4 linked regions of the Arabidopsis thaliana genome follow. The protein of the gene in region 2 interacts with the protein of the main gene of each other region in a pairwise test. Each region holds a gene or a part of one and is shown on either strand. Other genes may lie near its edges. The genes, in order: AT3G22490, HAI1, RCAR3 and PYL10.

Evidence for each region.
Region 1: the proteins of HAI1 (region 2) and AT3G22490 interact in binary tests that used the Arabidopsis thaliana proteins (3 or more experiments, as listed by UniProt).
Region 3: the proteins of HAI1 (region 2) and RCAR3 interact in binary tests that used the Arabidopsis thaliana proteins (3 or more experiments, as listed by UniProt).
Region 4: the proteins of HAI1 (region 2) and PYL10 interact in binary tests that used the Arabidopsis thaliana proteins (3 or more experiments, as listed by UniProt).

Annotation. Positions count from the first base shown.
Region 1 is NC_003074.8:7,968,432-7,972,946, reverse strand, and holds AT3G22490 (Seed maturation protein), read left to right. Parts: upstream 1-2,103; 5' UTR 2,104-2,208; coding exon 2,209-2,526; intron 2,527-2,602; coding exon 2,603-2,908; intron 2,909-2,997; coding exon 2,998-3,162; 3' UTR 3,163-3,266; downstream 3,267-4,515. Other genes in the region: ATECP31 (Seed maturation protein), read left to right, coding at 82-393, 473-766, 863-1,027; PDF2 (prefoldin 2), read right to left, coding at 3,421-3,867. UniProt on the Arabidopsis thaliana protein: LEA proteins are late embryonic proteins abundant in higher plant seed embryos. The function of those proteins is not known. Promotes germination rate. Enhances cation toxicity (e.g. lithium ion) and osmotic stress (e.g.
Region 2 is NC_003076.8:23,893,034-23,899,169, reverse strand, and holds HAI1 (PP2C protein (Clade A protein phosphatases type 2C)), read left to right. Parts: upstream 1-2,230; 5' UTR 2,231-2,672; coding exon 2,673-3,149; intron 3,150-3,232; coding exon 3,233-3,535; intron 3,536-3,904; coding exon 3,905-4,010; coding exon of another isoform or gene 4,011-4,033; exon of another isoform or gene 4,034-4,142; coding exon 4,143-4,498; 3' UTR 4,499-4,766; downstream 4,767-6,136. Other genes in the region: AT5G59210 (myosin heavy chain-like protein), read left to right, coding at 5,551-5,586, 5,684-5,771, 5,859-5,905. UniProt on the Arabidopsis thaliana protein: Acts as a negative regulator of abscisic acid (ABA) signaling for stomatal closure in leaves, and controls water loss during leaf senescence. Activated by the NAC029/NAP transcription factor during ABA signaling in senescing leaves.
Region 3 is NC_003076.8:21,558,679-21,564,039, forward strand, and holds RCAR3 (regulatory components of ABA receptor 3), read left to right. Parts: upstream 1-1,922; 5' UTR 1,923-2,347; coding exon 2,348-2,485; intron 2,486-2,766; coding exon 2,767-2,982; coding exon of another isoform or gene 2,983-3,062; coding exon 3,063-3,275; 3' UTR 3,276-4,031; downstream 4,032-5,361. Other genes in the region: FTSH11 (FTSH protease 11), read right to left, coding at 4,345-4,494, 4,604-4,657, 4,753-4,842, 5,043-5,324. UniProt on the Arabidopsis thaliana protein: Receptor for abscisic acid (ABA) required for ABA-mediated responses such as stomatal closure and germination inhibition.
Region 4 is NC_003075.7:13,898,864-13,903,215, forward strand, and holds PYL10 (PYR1-like 10), read left to right. Parts: upstream 1-2,278; 5' UTR 2,279-2,356; coding exon 2,357-2,479; intron 2,480-2,561; coding exon 2,562-2,780; intron 2,781-2,866; coding exon 2,867-3,076; 3' UTR 3,077-3,137; downstream 3,138-4,352. Other genes in the region: SDG16 (SET domain protein 16), read left to right, coding at 1-195, 279-365, 451-510, 604-693, 783-869, 957-1,031, 1,113-1,213, 1,303-1,393. UniProt on the Arabidopsis thaliana protein: Receptor for abscisic acid (ABA) required for ABA-mediated responses such as stomatal closure and germination inhibition.

The sequences.
Region 1 (4,515 bases), on a different chromosome or scaffold from region 2:
ACCTCTCTTTATATAATAGACACTCAATTCAGGTAGGAGTTATCGTAGTTTGTAACAGAACATTAACGTAACAAAACAAAGATGAGCCAAGAGCAACCAAGGAGGCCAAGAGAGCCAGTCAAATACGGGGACGTTTTTGAAGTCTCCGGTGAACTCGCTGATAAGCCCATAGCACCTGAGGATGCAAAGATGATGCAATCCGCGGAGACACATGTGTTCGGCCATACTCAGAAAGGCGGTCCAGCTGCGGTCATGCAATCTGCAGCCACCACCAATATACGCGGTGGCTTTGTCCATCCAGATGACAAAACTGAGCTTGTCGCTGAACGAGGCGCCACAGTGGAGCAAACGGTCCCTGCTGCAACTGTCACAACCGAATTCGTCGGTGGACAGGTCACAAGTTGTTTCGAAAAGTACTAGTACTTCTTTTCATATATCCGTTTTTTGTTTTGGAGTAATGGTGAAGCTTTAGGTCGTTGGACAACACGTTGAACCGAGGCGTGTAGTCGCTGCTGCGCGTACGGACGAAGAAGCTTTGCAAAGTACAATAACGATTGGAGAAGCACTGGAAGCAACTGTGAAGACAGCTGGAAACAAACCTGTGGATCAAAGCGACGCCGCAGCGATTCAAGCGGCAGAGATGAGAGCTTCCGGTACCAACGTCATTGCTCTAGCTGGAGTCGCCGCTTCAGCTCAATCTGCAGCGGATCACAACGCTACCGTAGATCGTGACGAGAGGAAAATCAAGCTTCGTGATGTTTTGACGGTTAAACCCTAATTTTCAAAACATTTTCATCAATGTTTTTGATGTTTTCCTTTTAAAGTAGTGGCTAAATGTTTTCGAACCGAATGAATTATATAGGGTGCAGCAGGGAAGTTATCGGCAGACAGAGCTGTGACGAGGGAAGATGCCGAGGGAGTGGTGAGCGCAGAGATGAGGAATAACCCTAAATTGTGTACTCACCCTGGTGGTGTAGCGGCTTCTCTTACCGTCGCTGCTAGGCTTAACGAGAGAGTTGATATATGACAAGACAAATCCGGCGAGAGGATCGATGATCTTTCTTTTTTTTGTTTGTTTGTTTGTTTGTTCGTCTCTCTTTCACAACTTAGGAAACTTGTTATGTAAAATCGTCTACAGCTTTTGGTCCTTTAGCCGATATGTTAGAAAATCCGGCGGGGAGAGGATGGTGTTCACAAGCTTGTGACATTTAATCGACTAGCTTTTTTGTTCTTTTTTGTATCTTACTGCTTAAAAACTTCCCAAGGATGATGTTGGAATGAATAATGGGGACTTTTTAGTTTGAAGTTAAAATCCATTCTTTAGCTGATTTGCTTTGAACTAATAATTCCTAAGAGAGTTAACACTTACCACTACTGATCTATATAAATGGGATATTCCTCCAGTCCAATGGGGTTTGTGACAATTAAAAATATCTGAGTTTTAACCAAAAAAAACCACAAATACAGATACAACAGTAAAACAAAAATCCAAAAGAGAAGAGCGTTTTTACTGGAACACCTTGAGCATTACCTTCCTTCTTATTACCCTCTTCCTTGTTATCATCCTGCTTCCTTATCCTGATGGTTATACTTAGCTTCAGATTCTGTACGATCTTTCTTCTTCTTGTCCAATGTCTCGGATATATAGCTTCTTCACAAACTCTTCGATCCCTTCCTTTATGCGTTGCACATGTGGGAGTACGTCTCTGACGGTTCTCTCGACCAACGCCTAGCCTCCTCTCATGCAGGAGCATTTCCTCGATTGGTTGAAAGGTTTAATGGCGTTGATGACCAGAGAGTATTCGCTCACTTGCACCTCGAGTTCAGTTATATTATATATGTTGCCATGTTGGAGTAGGTATGTATTAGCTCTCATCTCATGGCTTCAGAAATGTTCAGAACAGCTTTGCTCATTGTTGTTATGTTGTCTCAATATTGAAACGTGGCCAATGTTGTACGAAACATGGAAAAAAGTATTTAAACCTAAATGACAAAACTCTATCTCAGTCGGTCTGAATCATCATCTTGCTAAGGTTGCTATAAACTTGGAAACTGACACCTGCCTCTTAGTCACGTCATTGACAAAATGACAAGTGTCAAAATCTCATAATGTTGCTCTCACACTCATGCACCTCTCTTATCTTTATAGGAGTTGTTGTCACTTTTGTATGTAACACAAAACGGAACATAACATAACAAAACAGAGAGATGAGTCAAGAAGAACAACCAAAGCGGCCACAAGAGCCAGTCACTTACGGTGACGTTTTTGAAGTCTCCGGTGAACTCGCTGATAAGCCTATAGCGCCGGAGGATGCAAACATGATGCAAGCAGCGGAGACACGTGTGTTTGGCCACACTCAGAAAGGCGGTGCAGCGGCAGTCATGCAGTCTGCAGCCACTGCTAATAAACGCGGTGGCTTTGTCCATCCAGGTGACACAACTGATCTCGCCGCTGAACGAGGCGTCACAGTGGCGCAAACTGACGTCCCTGGTGCACGTGTCACAACAGAATTCGTCGGTGGACAGGTCATAACTCAAATCCAGAATTACATCTTTTTTCTTACGATCATGTTTTATAATGGTGAAGATATATTTGTCATAGGTCGTTGGACAATACGTCGAGCCTAGGCCAGTGGCGACTGCGGCAGCTATGGAAGCAGAAGTTGTGGGTTTGAGTTTACAAAGTGCAATAACGATTGGAGAAGCATTGGAAGCGACTGTGCAAACCGCTGGAAACAAACCGGTGGATCAAAGCGACGCAGCAGCGATTCAAGCGGCAGAGGTTAGAGCTTGTGGCACTAATGTGATTGCTCCTGGTGGAATCGCCGCTTCTGCTCAATCAGCAGCAAATCACAACGCTACCATAGACCGTGATGAGGATAAAATCAAGCTCATTGATGTTTTGGCGGTTAAACCCCAATTTTAAAAACATCTTCAATGTCTTAATGTTTTAGTTTTAAGATTGTCTAAATGTGTTTGAACCGGATGGCTTATTAGGGTGCGACCGGGAAGTTAGCCGCAGATAAAGCTGTGACCAGGCAGGACGCAGAGGGAGTGGTGAGCGCTGAGCTGAGGAACAATCCTAATTTGTCTACTCACCCTGGTGGTGTAGCGGCTTCTATTACTGCCGCCGCTAGGCTTAACGAGAGAGCTGATATATGAAAAATCCTGCGAGAGGGAGATGTTTTGGTTCTGTTGTTCAAAAAAGTTCAGTCATAATGTAAAAAAATGGTCACTTTCCGGTTATAAAGTTGAAATCTTTCTCTAGCACAACGGATCTACATAAATATGGCATTTCTCCAGTCTACTAGTTTTGTGACATTCAAAACATGTTGATTTTTTCCAGCAAAGTTTACGGCTTTTAACCATAAGATCCAAAAAAGAGATACAACAGTAAAACAAACTGCCAAATATAGAGTTTTACTGGCTTGAACTGGCAGCTCCAACAAGAACACCTTGAGCATTACCTTCCTTCTTGTTACCTCCTTCCTTGTTATCTTCTTGTTTCGTTATCCTGATCTTATACTTAGCTTCAAACTCTGTAAGATCTTTCTTCTTTTTCTCCAATGTCTCGTATAGCTTCCTCACAACCTCTTCAAGTCCGTCCTTGTTACGTTGGACAGCTGGTAGTACCTCTTTGATGGTTCTTTCGACAAGAACGCCTCCTATCATGCGGAAGCATTTCCTCGATTGGTCGAGAGGCTGAATGGCGTTAATGACCAGAGAATGTTCGCTCACTTGCATCTCGAGGTCGGTTATGTTGGAGTAGATTTGGCTTAGCTCTGATCTCTTGCCTTCATACATGTTCAAAACAGCTTGCTCATTCGGCGGTTCTCTTAGGCCACCGCTTCCAGATTTGCTGGCCATTACTTCGATCCTACTACAGAAATTAGATCCAAGAAATCACGAATTGCATAGTTGAAGCAAAAAATGAGAGTAAATCAATAAAGAAACTCAAACAACAACACTCAGAGAAACATTTGCATCTGACACAACTACGAACCGAAAAACACAATTGTTACAAAACAATTCCAAGCACATTGGAAAGAATACTAATCACTTAACCAATGCAGAGAACTATCTTACCTCAAGAATGATTCATACTTAATTCATTATTCTCTCAGAAGTTATAAAATACAAAACATGGTGAAGCATAAGGCTTTTACCAGATCAAGATCAATCCTACAATCATTCCATCACTATCTTGTCACGAACAATCACGCCCTTTTCCATCAAATAGATCTAAATACTACAACAGCCACATCTAAACCAATGACATAGCTTATCCTTCAGAATCCATCAGTCTCATAGCATCAAATACACTTATACAAGTAGAAGCAACCAACACAGAACATTCCACAAAGTAGACGTATATGAGTTCACTAACAGTGTATCATCTCCTACATAATACTCCAATCTCAAACTATGGCAACAGAGACTCAAACATAGAAACGATAACAACAACCAATTTAACATCCTTTTCAACAATCAGGGCTATTTCTCCAAACTAGGGTT
Region 2 (6,136 bases):
TTGGTAAGATTTCAATTCAAAGTTACAAAACAAAGACGAGATAATTAATCAAACTAGCTAGGACAATATATTGTCTCCTTACCGAAAGCTCTCCAACCACCTACTAAAGTAACTAACCATGTTTCAGTTATAATTTTATTTTTTCGTATTCCTATCAAGTATCAAATGATATAGTTAACCAACATTTATATATATATATTGAAATCACTAAACAAACAACAAAAGTAACATAGATTTTAATGGAACTAATTTTCACCTTATATTTTTACATAAGATTTGAAAGTGATGGTTAGTGACTTGTTGGTCGATGACGAATTTGTTTTCAGGTTAAATTTTAATAATAATAATATTTGAAAGAAAGATGAAGCTTTCACGTGGCACAATGTATTTGCCTACTGTCAACTTCAAAAACCTGGCAACTGCTATGCAGCTTCAGAGGACACGTGTCATGTGTTACACACGCGCTTCGTTTTTTTTCAACCTTTTGATTTTGTTTTGTTCTGTGATGTGGGACTCACATAATTCAAATCATCATCCTATTGCTTGCCGCCACGTCCCAGAGAATTTTCCGCGAAAAGCTGAGCTTCTCTCTTTCTTTCCTTAATTTTAGTTAGGTTATGAATTATTTTTGTATTAATACTAACTAACTAAAATATCATCATCACATTACATAAACATAAGATTCATCGGCGTAACGTAAGTAACAGTTAAAGCCCAAATTACAACTCTCGATCCTACTTAATGCATAGTAAACGAATGTTGACACAGAAAAAATCTTGGTCAAGACATAAAAGTAGAGAATGTAAACACGTGTCGAACATCGAGGAAGAAAACAGGTCAGAGAGGGGTCAACGTTGTTAAATGTTAGTAATAGAGAAGTGGTCCCCAGTTTCCACCAAAACCCATCTACGTACTTGTATCTCATTGGATGTCATTCCTGATTGATTTAGAATTGAAAACGTTATATTTTGTTTATTTCTAATTGTTGATTGAATATCTTATAATTTTTGCCCACAAAAGAAAATTATAAGTGTATAATATATAGTTCACTCGAATTTAACATGTCCATTGTCCAATGTAGAACGTATGATCATTTCTGTTTTTCAGTTGCTTTTATTTTAAATTCCCAAAAACCCAATATTGTGTCAAACATTGGAGAATGATGTTCACTTTTATTGTATTCACAAAATGCTACTTATCAACTAAGAAAATTGTAATGTCAAACATAAGATGGTGATATTTTAAAAATAGATGTAAAATTAGTTTAGAACTGTCTGATAAGTCATAAGATTGCACGATTATAAATCATTGAATATTCCGGACACTTGTCAAGATTAAAACCATGAATAAGTTTTCAAATTCATTTTCATCATCTCAATTGTAAAACTAGGTAAGATATCCTTTAAAATCTTTGAATATTAGTTCCCCGGCCCATATAAAATCTCTTAAATATATTTATTTGAAAACTCTGACTGTTTGCACTTGCAGCATAAAAAAAGGGATGAAACAAATGGAACAAATGCAGAACAAAACTAATAGACCAGACAAGTAAAACAAACGAAACAAAACAAGTGTTGAAATGATAACTCACAAATTTGAACTTACTTTTCTAGCAAATAAGAAATTGTTCTAATTAAAAAAAAAAGCATATGCAGTCTCAAATTGTTTCTAAGAAGTATTCACGCACCAAGGTTATATTTGTAGTGACATATTCTACAATTATCACATTTTTCTCTTATGTTTCGTAGTCGCAGATGGTCAATTTTTTCTATAATAATTTGTCCTTGAACACACCAAACTTTAGAAACGATGATATATACCGTATTGTCACGCTCACAATGAAACAAACGCGATGAATCGTCATCACCAGCTAAAAGCCTAAAACACCATCTTAGTTTTCACTCAGATAAAAAGATTATTTGTTTCCAACCTTTCTATTGAATTGATTAGCAGTGATGACGTAATTAGTGATAGTTTATAGTAAAACAAATGGAAGTGGTAATAAATTTACACAACAAAATATGGTAAGAATCTATAAAATAAGAGGTTAAGAGATCTCATGTTATATTAAATGATTGAAAGAAAAACAAACTATTGGTTGATTTCCATATGTAATAGTAAGTTGTGATGAAAGTGATGACGTAATTAGTTGTATTTATAGTAAAACAAATTAAAATGGTAAGGTAAATTTCCACAACAAAACTTGGTAAAAATCTTAAAAAAAAAAAAAGAGGTTTAGAGATCGCATGCGTGTCATCAAAGGTTCTTTTTCACTTTAGGTCTGAGTAGTGTTAGACTTTGATTGGTGCACGTAAGTGTTTCGTATCGCGATTTAGGAGAAGTACGTTTTACACGTGGACACAATCAACGGTCAAGATTTCGTCGTCCAGATAGAGGAGCGATACGTCACGCCATTCAACAATCTCCTCTTCTTCATTCCTTCATTTTGATTTTGAGTTTTGATCTGCCCGTTCAAAAGTCTCGGTCATCTGCCCGTAAATATAAAGATGATTATATTTATTTATATCTTCTGGTGAAAGAAGCTAATATAAAGCTTCCATGGCTAATCTTGTTTAAGCTTCTCTTCTTCTTCTCTCTCCTGTGTCTCGTTCACTAGTTTTTTTTCGGGGGAGAGTGATGGAGTGTGTTTGTTGAATAGTTTTGACGATCACATGGCTGAGATTTGTTACGAGAACGAGACTATGATGATTGAAACGACGGCGACGGTGGTGAAGAAGGCAACGACGACAACGAGGAGACGAGAACGGAGCTCGTCTCAAGCAGCGAGAAGAAGGAGAATGGAGATCCGGAGGTTTAAGTTTGTTTCCGGCGAACAAGAACCTGTCTTCGTCGACGGTGACTTACAGAGGCGGAGGAGAAGAGAATCCACCGTCGCAGCCTCCACCTCCACCGTGTTTTACGAAACGGCGAAGGAAGTTGTCGTCCTATGCGAGTCTCTTAGTTCAACGGTTGTGGCATTGCCTGATCCTGAAGCTTATCCTAAATACGGCGTCGCTTCAGTCTGTGGAAGAAGACGTGAAATGGAAGACGCCGTCGCTGTGCATCCGTTTTTTTCCCGTCATCAGACGGAATATTCATCCACCGGATTTCACTATTGCGGCGTTTACGATGGCCATGGCTGTTCCCATGTACGACGTCGTTTTATTATAAAAATTATCCTTTAATTGACCGTTACGACGTCGGTTTTTAATTTTAATAATATGATGTTTAGGTAGCGATGAAATGTAGAGAAAGACTACACGAGCTAGTCCGTGAAGAGTTTGAAGCTGATGCTGACTGGGAAAAGTCAATGGCGCGTAGCTTCACGCGCATGGACATGGAGGTTGTTGCGTTGAACGCCGATGGTGCGGCAAAATGCCGGTGCGAGCTTCAGAGGCCGGACTGCGACGCGGTGGGATCCACTGCGGTTGTGTCTGTCCTTACGCCGGAGAAAATCATCGTGGCGAATTGCGGTGACTCACGTGCCGTTCTCTGTCGTAACGGCAAAGCCATTGCTTTATCCTCCGATCATAAGGTTTTGTTCGTTTTTTGATAATCTCTCTTGTTTCGTTTATCCATCGTTAAATGTTTATCCGTTAGATCTACGGTTATGGTTTACTCACTGTAATGAAACGAGAATTTCGTTACGTGTTGCGTTCGAAACTTACCTATTAATATTGTTTAATGCATTTTTTATTTATTATTTCATTTATTGGAAATTAGAATCTTCTTTAATGTGCATGCAACACCTGGACGACGATTAAGAATGTTTAATGACTTTTTACTTTTTAGATAGAGGATCTGATAAAGTTTATGAGTTTTAAGATTCTTTAATCCTTCGTGTCACTGTTATCAATGACTATATCATTCTCTCTCTCTCTCTTGTTTAAATTTGTTGTAACAGCCAGACCGTCCGGACGAGCTAGACCGGATTCAAGCAGCGGGTGGTCGTGTTATCTACTGGGATGGCCCACGTGTCCTTGGAGTACTTGCAATGTCACGAGCCATTGGTCAGTTAATTGATTACACTTGACGAAAACACTCTTGTCCCTATCCTAATGTTTGTACAAAGTTTTTCCGTACTTTCAATAATGATGATTATTAACTCTCGTTTCGCCGCGGATTTTTTTTTTTTTTTTCAGGAGATAATTACTTGAAGCCGTATGTAATCAGCAGACCGGAGGTAACCGTGACGGACCGGGCCAACGGAGACGATTTTCTTATTCTCGCAAGTGACGGTCTTTGGGACGTTGTTTCAAACGAAACTGCATGTAGCGTCGTTCGAATGTGTTTGAGAGGAAAAGTCAATGGTCAAGTATCATCATCACCGGAAAGGGAAATGACAGGTGTCGGCGCCGGGAATGTGGTGGTTGGAGGAGGAGATTTGCCAGATAAAGCGTGTGAGGAGGCGTCGCTGTTGCTGACGAGGCTTGCGTTGGCTAGACAAAGTTCGGACAACGTAAGTGTTGTGGTGGTTGATCTACGACGAGACACGTAGTTGTATTTGTCTCTCTCGTAATGTTTGTTGTTTTTTGTCCTGAGTCATCGACTTTTGGGCTTTTTCTTTTAACCTTTTTTGCTCTTCGGTGTAAGACAACGAAGGGTTTTTAATTTAGCTTGACTATGGGTTATGTCAGTCACTGTGTTGAATCGCGGTTTAGATCTACAAAGATTTTCACCAGTAGTGAAAATGGTAAAAAGCCGTGAAATGTGAAAGACTTGAGTTCAATTTAATTTTAAATTTAATAGAATCAGTTGATCATAACAAAATCTTACCTTTTTAAATTTATTTTTTGTTATATATAGGACGATGTTTATAGGAATATTAGAAATGTTAGACTGATATCTTTAAGAATAGGAAAAGAACCAAATATTTACTAAGGAATTTGTTTTCAAGTGTATTTTGTAACTAAACAAGGCAAACAATCGGTATAGAATACTTCAAAGGTTAATTGGGAGGATTCAATATTATAACATTTTTTTCTTATTATGTAAAACGTTTTTTTTTTTTTTTTGCCAACATAATCTATAAAACATGTTTATATAACTCTTCATCAAACGGGTATGGTTCACACTTTATCATGTGACATATTAGAAGATGTCGATCATTAAGACTGAACATTGTTTAAAGTACTTAGAAATCAAAATGATGATTCAAGCTTTGATAACTTCCAACCGTTTCCAACCGCCAAACTTTGGTAACTTTTTTAGAATCGAACTCCTAGCTATCGCCTAACGATTTTTTTGAACATTCTCGTTTTTTTTTCTTTTAAATGTCTTTGCAATTGCATAAACTGGTTTTTTTTTTTTTTTTTTTTTTTTGTCGGAAACTGGTTTTCTTTTATCATCCTGTTTTCAACTTTTATTCAATTTTTTTTTTCTTTTTGAAATTGAAAAACTGGGCTCGCTTTCAAGGTCAGAGAGTTATATATGTCCATGGGCCTATTTAACACTCCTATAAGCCCAAATATAGATATATTCCATTTTTGTCGCCGGCGATTTCCTCACCGTTAAATCGACGTTCGAAATTCCGAGGAGAGGAATCATACCATGGAATCGCACCACGCGTCTCTAGGTCGCCGTACTGTAAGGATATTTCCGATATGGCCGTCTTTATCTTCATCTGAAGACAGTTTCTTACATCGGTGCTTTTTTGTTGTTATTAATTTCTGTGATCTTGTAGTTGGAAGAGATTCGTCAAAAGAGAGCAGCTCAAAGGCTAAGCAAAGCTTCTTCAGGTCCAGATCTTAGTGAAATTCCCAATCCTGCCGGTAATTTTATTCATCTCCAATTTCAATGTTTTGCCATCTCCTTTTCCACTAGCTTTGCAATTTTGATTGACTACTTCATTATTTCAGATTTCCCAGTGATCAGAAAATCTGAGAGCGGAAATCGACTTTCTGAGGTAGCATTTCTCTGCTTATCAAAAATTGTACCTGGTGATCTAATTGGATTCTTTAGAATTGCGACGGTCTTGATAATGAGAATGCCTTAATCGAATCATGTCTTCTAGGATTTATGGACAAATTTGATTTTGCATATTGTCCTGAGGATAGGCTCATTCAACTTTTCTTGAGTAAATGAATGAACATAAATGGGAGTTTTGTATTGGTTTTACTGATATTATGATCTTCCT
Region 3 (5,361 bases), 2.3 Mb from region 2:
TCAACACCTTCCTTGACCACACTCAAAATCTCCGATATACATTCCTGAGAGCCCACCTGCAAGCTCCAAGCCCAATCTTAAAAAGAAACTATGGGTATCCAATTTTTTTTTTTTGTGTACTTTAATCTTGAGGTAGTAGTATTTTCGAGAATACTTTAGCACGTTACAAAGTTAGCAACGAATTTTCTTTTTCTAGATATGACTTATAAGAGCCAAACCTTTTTATGTTATAGAAATCTTTGTCACTTTGAGATACTTTTATTCAGGATTTAATAAAGAGTGTTGGATAAAGCACGTGGGACCTTTTGCTCTCTCGAGATTGGCTCTTCGAGTCAGGAAAAGTTAAGACTGTGAAGCAAACCCTATATATGATACTGTATACAATATATTTTTTGGATAAAGGATTGTGTAAATTAAATGATCAAACTATATACTTACTATTCTGGCCTTAGTGGTTATAAGATACTAATATTATACTGTAAATGATCAAAACAAGATACTATTGTCAGAATGCGAAAAAATAAAGCGAAGTCCAACTTAATAGTTTACGAACTTTTACTTCATATTATGAGTCGAATGAGAGTGAATACTGGAATTGGTGATGATGCAGAAAACCGGATTAGACGAAACAAAGAGAACATAATACAAATCATTGGTATGGAACTGACAAAACGTACGAAACAATCGATGTTAAATGGTTAGAATAAAATTTGGATGATAACCATAATAACTGCAGTGCATGTATAATCATTAAATTTTAGCTATTTTTAATACTTGGAATAATAGATGTTTACTATTTTTATCATATACCTAAAGAAGTTCTTGTAATTTGTACTTAGTACCTGATTTGTCGTTCTAATCCTAAAAAAAGATTTGGTCCTTTGTAGTTTGCTTCAAAGGCCCCGAATCTGCATTGATCATGGTCTGGCTCGGGGGTGTTAAGCACACTTTTAACTAGTGATTATATGTCTAATTGGGACATCAATATACCTCCATGCACCTAGTAATGTGACCATCCGTATAATATGTGTACTATCTCTTCTTCAGCTAAAGGTTAACGAGCATAATCTGGTTAAGCCCTATGTTTGGTTTGCATTATAACAATCTCTCTGAAATTTTGTAGTATTTTCATCAATTTAAATTAGTATATTTTCGACAATTTGAATTGTTCTTTGAGTCTGATCACAGTCAAGTACACGAACTATATGCTGATCTGATCGAATTCATTCTACTATATACACACACATACACAAACATTTTACAGTACACCACTAATACTATAATCCCAATAACAAGAAAACCTAAAATATAAGTACACATTAACAAAAGAAAACAGTTTGCAAGTTATTAAGTGGTTTTTGGATTTGGTTTATAGTTTTTAGATTTTTGCATTAATTATATATATATATATATATATATATATATATATATATATATATATATATATTTGAAACTAAATATGAAAAAGTTATAGCGTTAAAAAGTGAAAAACCAATGAAACATAGATTTTAGATTTCCTTTAAAAATCTAGATTCCTTATTTTTATAAGGAAAACCATTTCTCCCAATCTTAATTGGCTATAAAGTAGATTTTTGGAAAAAACTTAAGCCATAAACAATTTCAAAAAATCTATAACCATTTCAAAATCTTTAATCCTTTTTTTTTTTTGTCAAAACAAGTCTTTTATCCAAATGAAAAAGCACCCAAGAAAAAAAAAAAAAAAACTATCCAATAATTGAGTCAGCTCTCATAGGCTTAAACAATACTTTAAGGATCAACATTAAATAATTACCACACTTGAGGGGTAAAACTAAAAACGGTAAATAAAACACAGAAAAACGACAACGAGGGGCAAAATCGAAAATAAAGAGAAAATAGTGGGATAATAGAAGAAAGCATCCAATGAGAGTAGTGAAATCAGAGAAAGACCTTTACTCCTTTAGTCCAATACCATCCAATCAATCTTTTTCTTTTTTTTTATAAAAATCTCTCACTGAGTCTTTTTATTTAAATATTATAAAAAGGAGAGAGAAAAAAAGTTTGTTGGAGGATTCGTCTCTCTCTCTCTCTCTTTCTCTTTCTCTCATCTTCTTCTTATCTCCCTCCAAAGACGGCGACTGTATAATCTATCATTTCTTCACAGTAACGCTTTCATCGGAAGATCTCGCCGGAAAAAAACTTCTCTCTGAGATCAGATCTCTTACGATTCTCAGCTCAATCTTATCTTTTCCTTTGTTGTGCTGCTTTTCACTCTCTTCTGCGCGACGAATTTGGCCTTGTTTTTTGTTTGTTTGTCGTATCCGACGCGGAGGTATTGAGAAACCGTGGCTTAAGACGGAGGAAGAAGATGGAAGCTAACGGGATTGAGAACTTGACGAATCCGAATCAGGAAAGAGAGTTTATAAGGAGACATCATAAGCATGAGCTTGTGGATAATCAGTGTAGCTCTACGCTTGTTAAACATATCAACGCTCCTGTTCATATTGTAAGCTTCTCCCTTCTTCTTCTTCCTTCATGCGCTCTGATTTTCTCTGTTTAAGTTAATCGGTTCTTCTTATTGTTGATTCAATCCAGAATTTGAAATCTCTCTCTATTTTCATCGATTGTTGATCTTACTGATGAAGAATCGATTGGTTTCTAATTATTGAAAGCTTACATAGCATTTGTGTAATCCCAATCTGAGTTTGTTTGATCTGGTTTTGCTTTATTGGAAAAAAAAGCTCCCAAAAACGCTTATGGATTAGTTTGAATCTCTCTGGTGAATAGGTGTGGTCACTTGTGAGAAGATTTGATCAGCCACAGAAGTATAAGCCGTTTATCAGTAGATGTGTGGTGAAAGGAAACATGGAGATTGGTACAGTAAGAGAAGTTGATGTGAAATCTGGACTACCAGCAACTAGAAGCACTGAGAGATTGGAGTTACTTGATGACAATGAGCATATTCTCAGTATCAGAATCGTTGGTGGTGATCATAGACTTAAGGTAATCAATGAATCAAAAGGTTCGTTTTCTGTTTACAGTGAATCAAAGACTTATATGTTCTATATTGTTTTTGGATTTAGAACTATTCTTCAATCATCTCTCTTCACCCCGAGACTATAGAAGGAAGAATAGGAACACTTGTGATTGAGTCATTTGTGGTTGATGTACCAGAAGGAAACACAAAGGATGAGACTTGTTACTTTGTTGAAGCTTTAATCAAATGCAATCTTAAATCTTTAGCTGATATCTCTGAACGTCTTGCGGTTCAAGACACGACAGAATCGAGAGTCTAAAGATCAAAGGAGTAAGAAACTATTGAATCAGAGAGATTTTGGTTGCCATGGATGAAGCTCTCAAAGGGAAAAAGAGAGAGTGGGTGAGTTTCTTTGAGGATGGACAAGGCAAAAAAAGTATCATCATTTATCCAGTTACATAATAAGTTTCTCATTTGCTATTTTTGGGGTCATTTCACTTTCAAACCCTCTTTTTAATTTCATGTGTCTAATTTAATGAATGTGTTTTTGGTTTCTTCTCTATAGAACCAAAATATGATTTTGGAGTTTAGCTTTAGCAACTTGCAGGAATCTTTTTACAATTTGCAGAGAAGACATGTTAAAAGTGTGTGTGATCATGGGGTTCCACTCTCTTCTTCCTTTTTTAACACTTTTAGTTGCACCCATAAAGGCCACACACCGTCTTTCTTATATTTATTTTTTCTACTTTTAAAGATGAACCAATAGGGTTTGTGAGATGTGAAAAATCTCCACAAAGGACCATTAAGGAAAGAGATCTTTGTTGTTGTTTATAGATTTTGTCTTGACTTGTGATTGGGGAAACACACTTTAGCTCCATTAGCTGTAAAAAGTTTTGTATACTATTTTTACAATGCCAAAGTGTTTCTGTTTCTTTTTTCCTAAATTACAGTAGTGGATAAATATTCGAATCGGTCACATTGACAGGTGGTATCATTAGAATTGCTTCTATATGTTTTCTTTCAATTTTGTTCCAAACAATACATGTAATTTCATCAGAGGACCTTGTAAGCTGCAATAAGATTCATTGGCTTTCAAAATCACATCAGAGAATAAAGACAACAATTATTACTTTCTTTTCAATGTTGTTTTACATTTTTCTTCATAGAATTGAACAGAATGTCAAAAAGGGCAAAAGGTTCAAGGTCGAAGCGAAAACTAATGAGCTAATGAAATAAAAACTACAATAATTTTGTAACATGAGATCAATAATTTCATATGTTTTTCTTTTGGTTGTTGTTGTAGAAGCTATGGGAGATTTACTCTGTACAAAGCTTTGAATCTCCCTTTTTCACCCAAAGAAGTGTGTTTATGGTAATGAATGATGTGATTAGGCCAATACCAAGTCTCCTTCTTCTTGTTGTTGCTCTTCAAATTTCTCGCCTTCCTGCTTTGGAAGGAGAATACGCTTTATGTCCTCTGCGGTTAGCGTTTCATACTCTAGAAGTGCGTTTGCTAACGTGTGTAGCTGCTTCTCATGCTGGGGAAACACACACACACACACACACACACACACACACAAAATCGAAGTGAGATTAAACAATTTTGATCCAGTAAAAAATGCGACTATCTGTAAACTTGGCACAAACCCGTTTCAAGAGAGATTTCACTCTCTCATATGCTTCTCTAAGAAGCTTCACAACCTATACATGTATCAACACCACCAGATGAATGATTAGATTTAGGACCAATGGGATTTGAATGAGGGAACTAAAAAAAGTGAATAGAGAGTCTCTACCTCGGCATCAATGCGTGATTGCATATCAGAGCTTGGTCTTTCTTTTATATGAACTGGTCCTATTGCCTCACTCATCCCACAACTCGATACCTTCCATTAAAAAGAAAAGCATTACTACAACTACAACAAGAGGTAAGATCCATCTTCTCGCATTAACTTGTAAGTTCACCTTAAGGATCTCAGAGACTAAGTCCCTCAAACCTCATTCCAGAAAACTAAAAGAACCAAAGGCTAACTCTTTTGATAAACCAGAAAAAAAGAAGCAATTAAGCACATGTACATGAGGTTACCATGTATTGTGCAAGTTCAGTGGCCTGTGACAGATCGCTACTCGCTCCAGTGGTAATATGGTCCAAGCCAAAGATGAGCTCCTCTGCAACTCTTCCTCCCATACATACATCGAGACGAGCTAATAACTGCCTCTTGCTCACTGATGTTTCATCGTTTGAAGGTAACTGTGTAACCATTCCCAATGCAGATCCACGTGGCATTATAGTCGCTTTGTGGATCGGGTGCGCACCTTTCGTATTTAAAGCGACAATAGCATGACCACTCTCATGGTATGCAGTGAGCTAAAGAGGCAAAGAAGTAAGTGACAGGTCATATCAT
Region 4 (4,352 bases), on a different chromosome or scaffold from region 2:
AACGTGTTAATTATACAAACTCCTTCAGGAGCCTTCTCTGCAAAGAGTCTTGTCCAAAACAAGAAGAAAGGTGGTTCCAGGCTTATTTCATTAATCAGAGAAGACGATGAAGCACCTGCAGAGAATACCATTACATGTGATCCATTTTCTGCTGCTCGTTGTCGAGTATTTAAAAGAAAGATCAATAGCAAGAAGGTAATATTGGGTCTTATCCACAAAAAGTCTGTATGTTTCGTTGCACATCTCCTTTGTCCAGTAGGCTGATCTTTGTTTTGTAGAGGATTGAAGAAGAAGCCATTCCTCACCACACAAGGGGACCACGCCATCATGCATCAGCAGCAATCCAAACTTTAAACACATTCAGAGTAAGAAAGTCTCCATGCAGTTCTTCTACTCCGTTTCTTACTATTATTTTTTGGATCTGACATTTCTGGGTTGTATTATGTGTAGCATGTGCCAGAAGAACCCAAATCGTTTTCTTCTTTCAGGGAACGACTTCACCACTTGCAGGCAAGAATTCTCTGATGTTTGAACGAGATTGGAATGTTCAGGTTTTATTTTTTGATATTATCGGCTGTAACATGTGTATGTTTAATGTAACAGAGGACAGAAATGGATCGGGTCTGCTTTGGGCGATCTGGAATTCATGGATGGGGTCTTTTTGCAAGAAGAAATATCCAAGAAGGAGAAATGGTATGTCAGCAGACCCATTTGTGATATTGTGTTTGGTCTATTTGGGATGAGGGGAGTGTTTATTGTCGAGAGGTGCTATTGTATTTCAGGTTCTTGAATACAGAGGGGAACAGGTGAGAGGTAGCATTGCAGACTTGAGAGAAGCACGTTATCGCAGAGTAGGAAAGGATTGCTATGTGAGTTGAAAAAGTTTCCATTTTATCTTCACAAATTGTCTCTTCTCTCTCTATCTCTCTTAACCAAAAGAAGGATTTATGTTGCAGCTTTTCAAGATCAGTGAAGAAGTAGTGGTTGATGCTACAGATAAAGGGAATATAGCTCGGCTCATCAATCATTCGGTAAGCTGCTTGGCATGGACTTTTTACGTACAAGAAATTTGACAGACTGTTAAAGCCTAAATCAAAATACGTGGTGTGTAGTGTACACCAAACTGCTATGCGAGGATTATGAGTGTAGGAGATGAGGAAAGCAGGATTGTCCTGATAGCCAAGGCCAATGTAGCTGTGGGAGAGGAGTTAACGTACACAACGCATTTCTATATATACCATTCTTCAATCTAAAGCTGATTGATTGTCATAGTTTAAGAAATGTTGTGTGGTGTTTTGGCAGGTATGATTACTTATTTGATCCAGACGAGGCAGAGGAACTCAAGGTGCCATGCTTATGTAAAGCCCCTAACTGCAGGAAATTCATGAATTAGAATAGAAAGGTATAGATCCTCTAAGTTTACTTCACAGGCTACAACACCAAGAAGAAAAGGCCAAAGCAAGATTGTCTCTTTTTGCTCCAAAAACAATAGATTTATAGGTAGAGAGAAAAGCTAAGTGATCCAAGTCTGATCTCTTCTGCCTCTCTGTATAGACAAACTCGTTTGTGTCACCATTATCCTCAAAAGAATTCAATTTCATTCATTTTGTTCATTTCAACGAGACTTGAGCAGAAAACTTGGGATAATTCCAACTGTTGTGACCGTTTTACCCTATAACCATCGGTTTACTACGGTTATACCGCGAAGGTGATGAGTCAATTCAATTGGGAATTGATTTTCCTTTCGCGCCGGTTTATGAATCGTGCTTTCGTCAAGTGCCATGTCAGACGAATTGTAGTTTGCTGCTGATAAAAGATCTCGTAATGGTTTTCTTAAAACACTTTTAAGCGTTTTTGACGGCCCAATTGATGCGAATATGGATTGACTCTTATCTATACTTCAGATATGTTCAAAGCCACACAAGGTAAATTGCATAACGGATAACAATTCCCATAAGAAAAAATGTTTCGGTGTCAAACTGTATATGAGCAATTCTGAAACATTCTAAAGATTTTGTGGTTATGTGTTAAACTTAAAGCATTTGATAGAGAGATATTTTTCAAAGAAATAGGAAAAAATAATGTTACAATCCTCCACATTAATGTTTACAATCCGTCCATCTGTACTTGACATGTCGGATCATAATCCAAGATAATGGGAATACAGATATAAGTTAAAAATGAATTCACTCATAGAAACTTGGAAGGCTATATTCGTCAATATAAAAGAGCATCCTTTAAATAGCTGCACACTGGTACAGTGGTTCTACTATTGAGTGAAAAAAAAAAAAAACTAAAGGCACGAATAATTTTTGTCTAATCAAAATTATTTAAATTGCTGCTATTTAAGATAACGATGAACGGTGACGAAACAAAGAAGGTGGAGAGCGAGTACATCAAGAAACACCATAGACACGAGCTTGTAGAGTCTCAATGTAGCTCTACGCTCGTTAAGCACATCAAAGCTCCTCTGCATCTCGTAAGCTTTGCTTTGCTCTGTTTTTCAAGTGTTAAAGATAACGATTTTTGAGATGTTAAATGATTTGTTTTGTTTGGAAAAGGTGTGGTCAATTGTGAGGAGATTCGATGAACCACAAAAATACAAACCATTTATCAGTAGGTGTGTGGTACAAGGTAAGAAGCTGGAGGTTGGTAGCGTAAGAGAAGTGGATTTGAAATCTGGATTACCAGCTACTAAAAGCACTGAGGTATTAGAGATTCTTGACGACAATGAGCATATTCTCGGCATCAGAATAGTTGGTGGTGATCATAGACTCAAGGTAAATTGAAATTTCCTTAAATGTACCATTCATTCCGACAAGATTATTGTTTTTTTTAGAGCTTAATTTGTTATTTGTCCAATCAGAATTATTCTTCAACCATTTCGTTACATTCGGAGACGATAGACGGAAAAACAGGGACATTGGCTATAGAATCGTTCGTGGTGGATGTGCCGGAAGGTAACACAAAGGAGGAGACATGCTTCTTCGTGGAGGCTTTGATTCAATGCAATCTCAATTCTTTAGCAGATGTTACCGAGCGTCTACAAGCAGAATCTATGGAGAAGAAGATATGAGATGTGACTTGAGAATCTTTTCATTCGGAAAAGAAGGAAAAAGACCAAAGAAGAGAAATAACTCTTCCCTTTTATAGCAATGTCTATGTTTTTTCTTCTTCTATTTCCATTTTCTGAATGTTTGTATATTATTGGAAGTTTGTAACGAAATGATTTCGAATAGCTGTCAAACGAGAAATATAAATTCAAATTTGTAAGTGTTTATATGAAATGCTTTTTTATTTTTAACATTTCCACATGAAAATATAAATAACATATCATGACACATGCAAAATCATATTTATGAAAGTTTTTTCAACTCTCTCCATTTTTTCGACATATCAGCATTAGATAGAGTGACACTTATCACATCAACATATGAATTACATTTCTTATTTAATTTAATGTATTTAAGAATTTATAATCATGCATTAATTCTTTCTAAATTTTTTGACATGTTTGAACTTATTAATTAAATAATTTCAATTTAATTAGGTACAAAGTATATCAAACTCACATAAATAACTTATTTAAATTAAATTATATAAATCGTATAAACTTATGTATAAACATAAAATTAATAGAATTTTAATGAACTTTTAGATTTGATTAAAGTATAAAAATTAAATAATATGATATAAGAATTTATTTCATGTTTTCATATACTAATATATATATATATATATATATATATAAAAGATTAATAACAATTGATATTAGTTAAATTTACGGTTTAGTTTAAGGTAAACCCAAGATGCTCTCATCTGGAATTCTGTTATGATCTGTACGTCCTCAAAGTTCCAGAGATGTTGAGAAAGATCAAACATCAGCAGCGTCAGAGGCTTTTTCTCTGGAGAGGTGATGTTGAATGGCTCTATGCGCTGCTCGGAGAGCAAAAGAGTCTTGAAGAAGACTCTAGCAAATCCATATTGGCATCTAAGCTTGATCTTTGTGTTCCTGTTATGAAACACAGAATCTAGACTGAGACTGAAGTTGGATACCTCAGCTTTGGGATGGAGAATACCGGAACTCTTGGCCGGAGTAAGAGGATGGAAAGCATGCTGAAGATGAGCAAGAGCGTTCCAAGAAAGACTATGACGAAGAAAACAAATCAGAAATATACTAAGTATGAGTTGTTTCAAAGAACGTAGTAATGGTTTATAATAATATTAACAATAGAATAAAATAAATAGTAATGGTTTAAGAAAATATTAATAATAGTGAGCAAAAGCTAAGCAAAATATAAGCAAAACATAATAACATAGTCAAAATAATATGGAAATGACAAGTATATAAA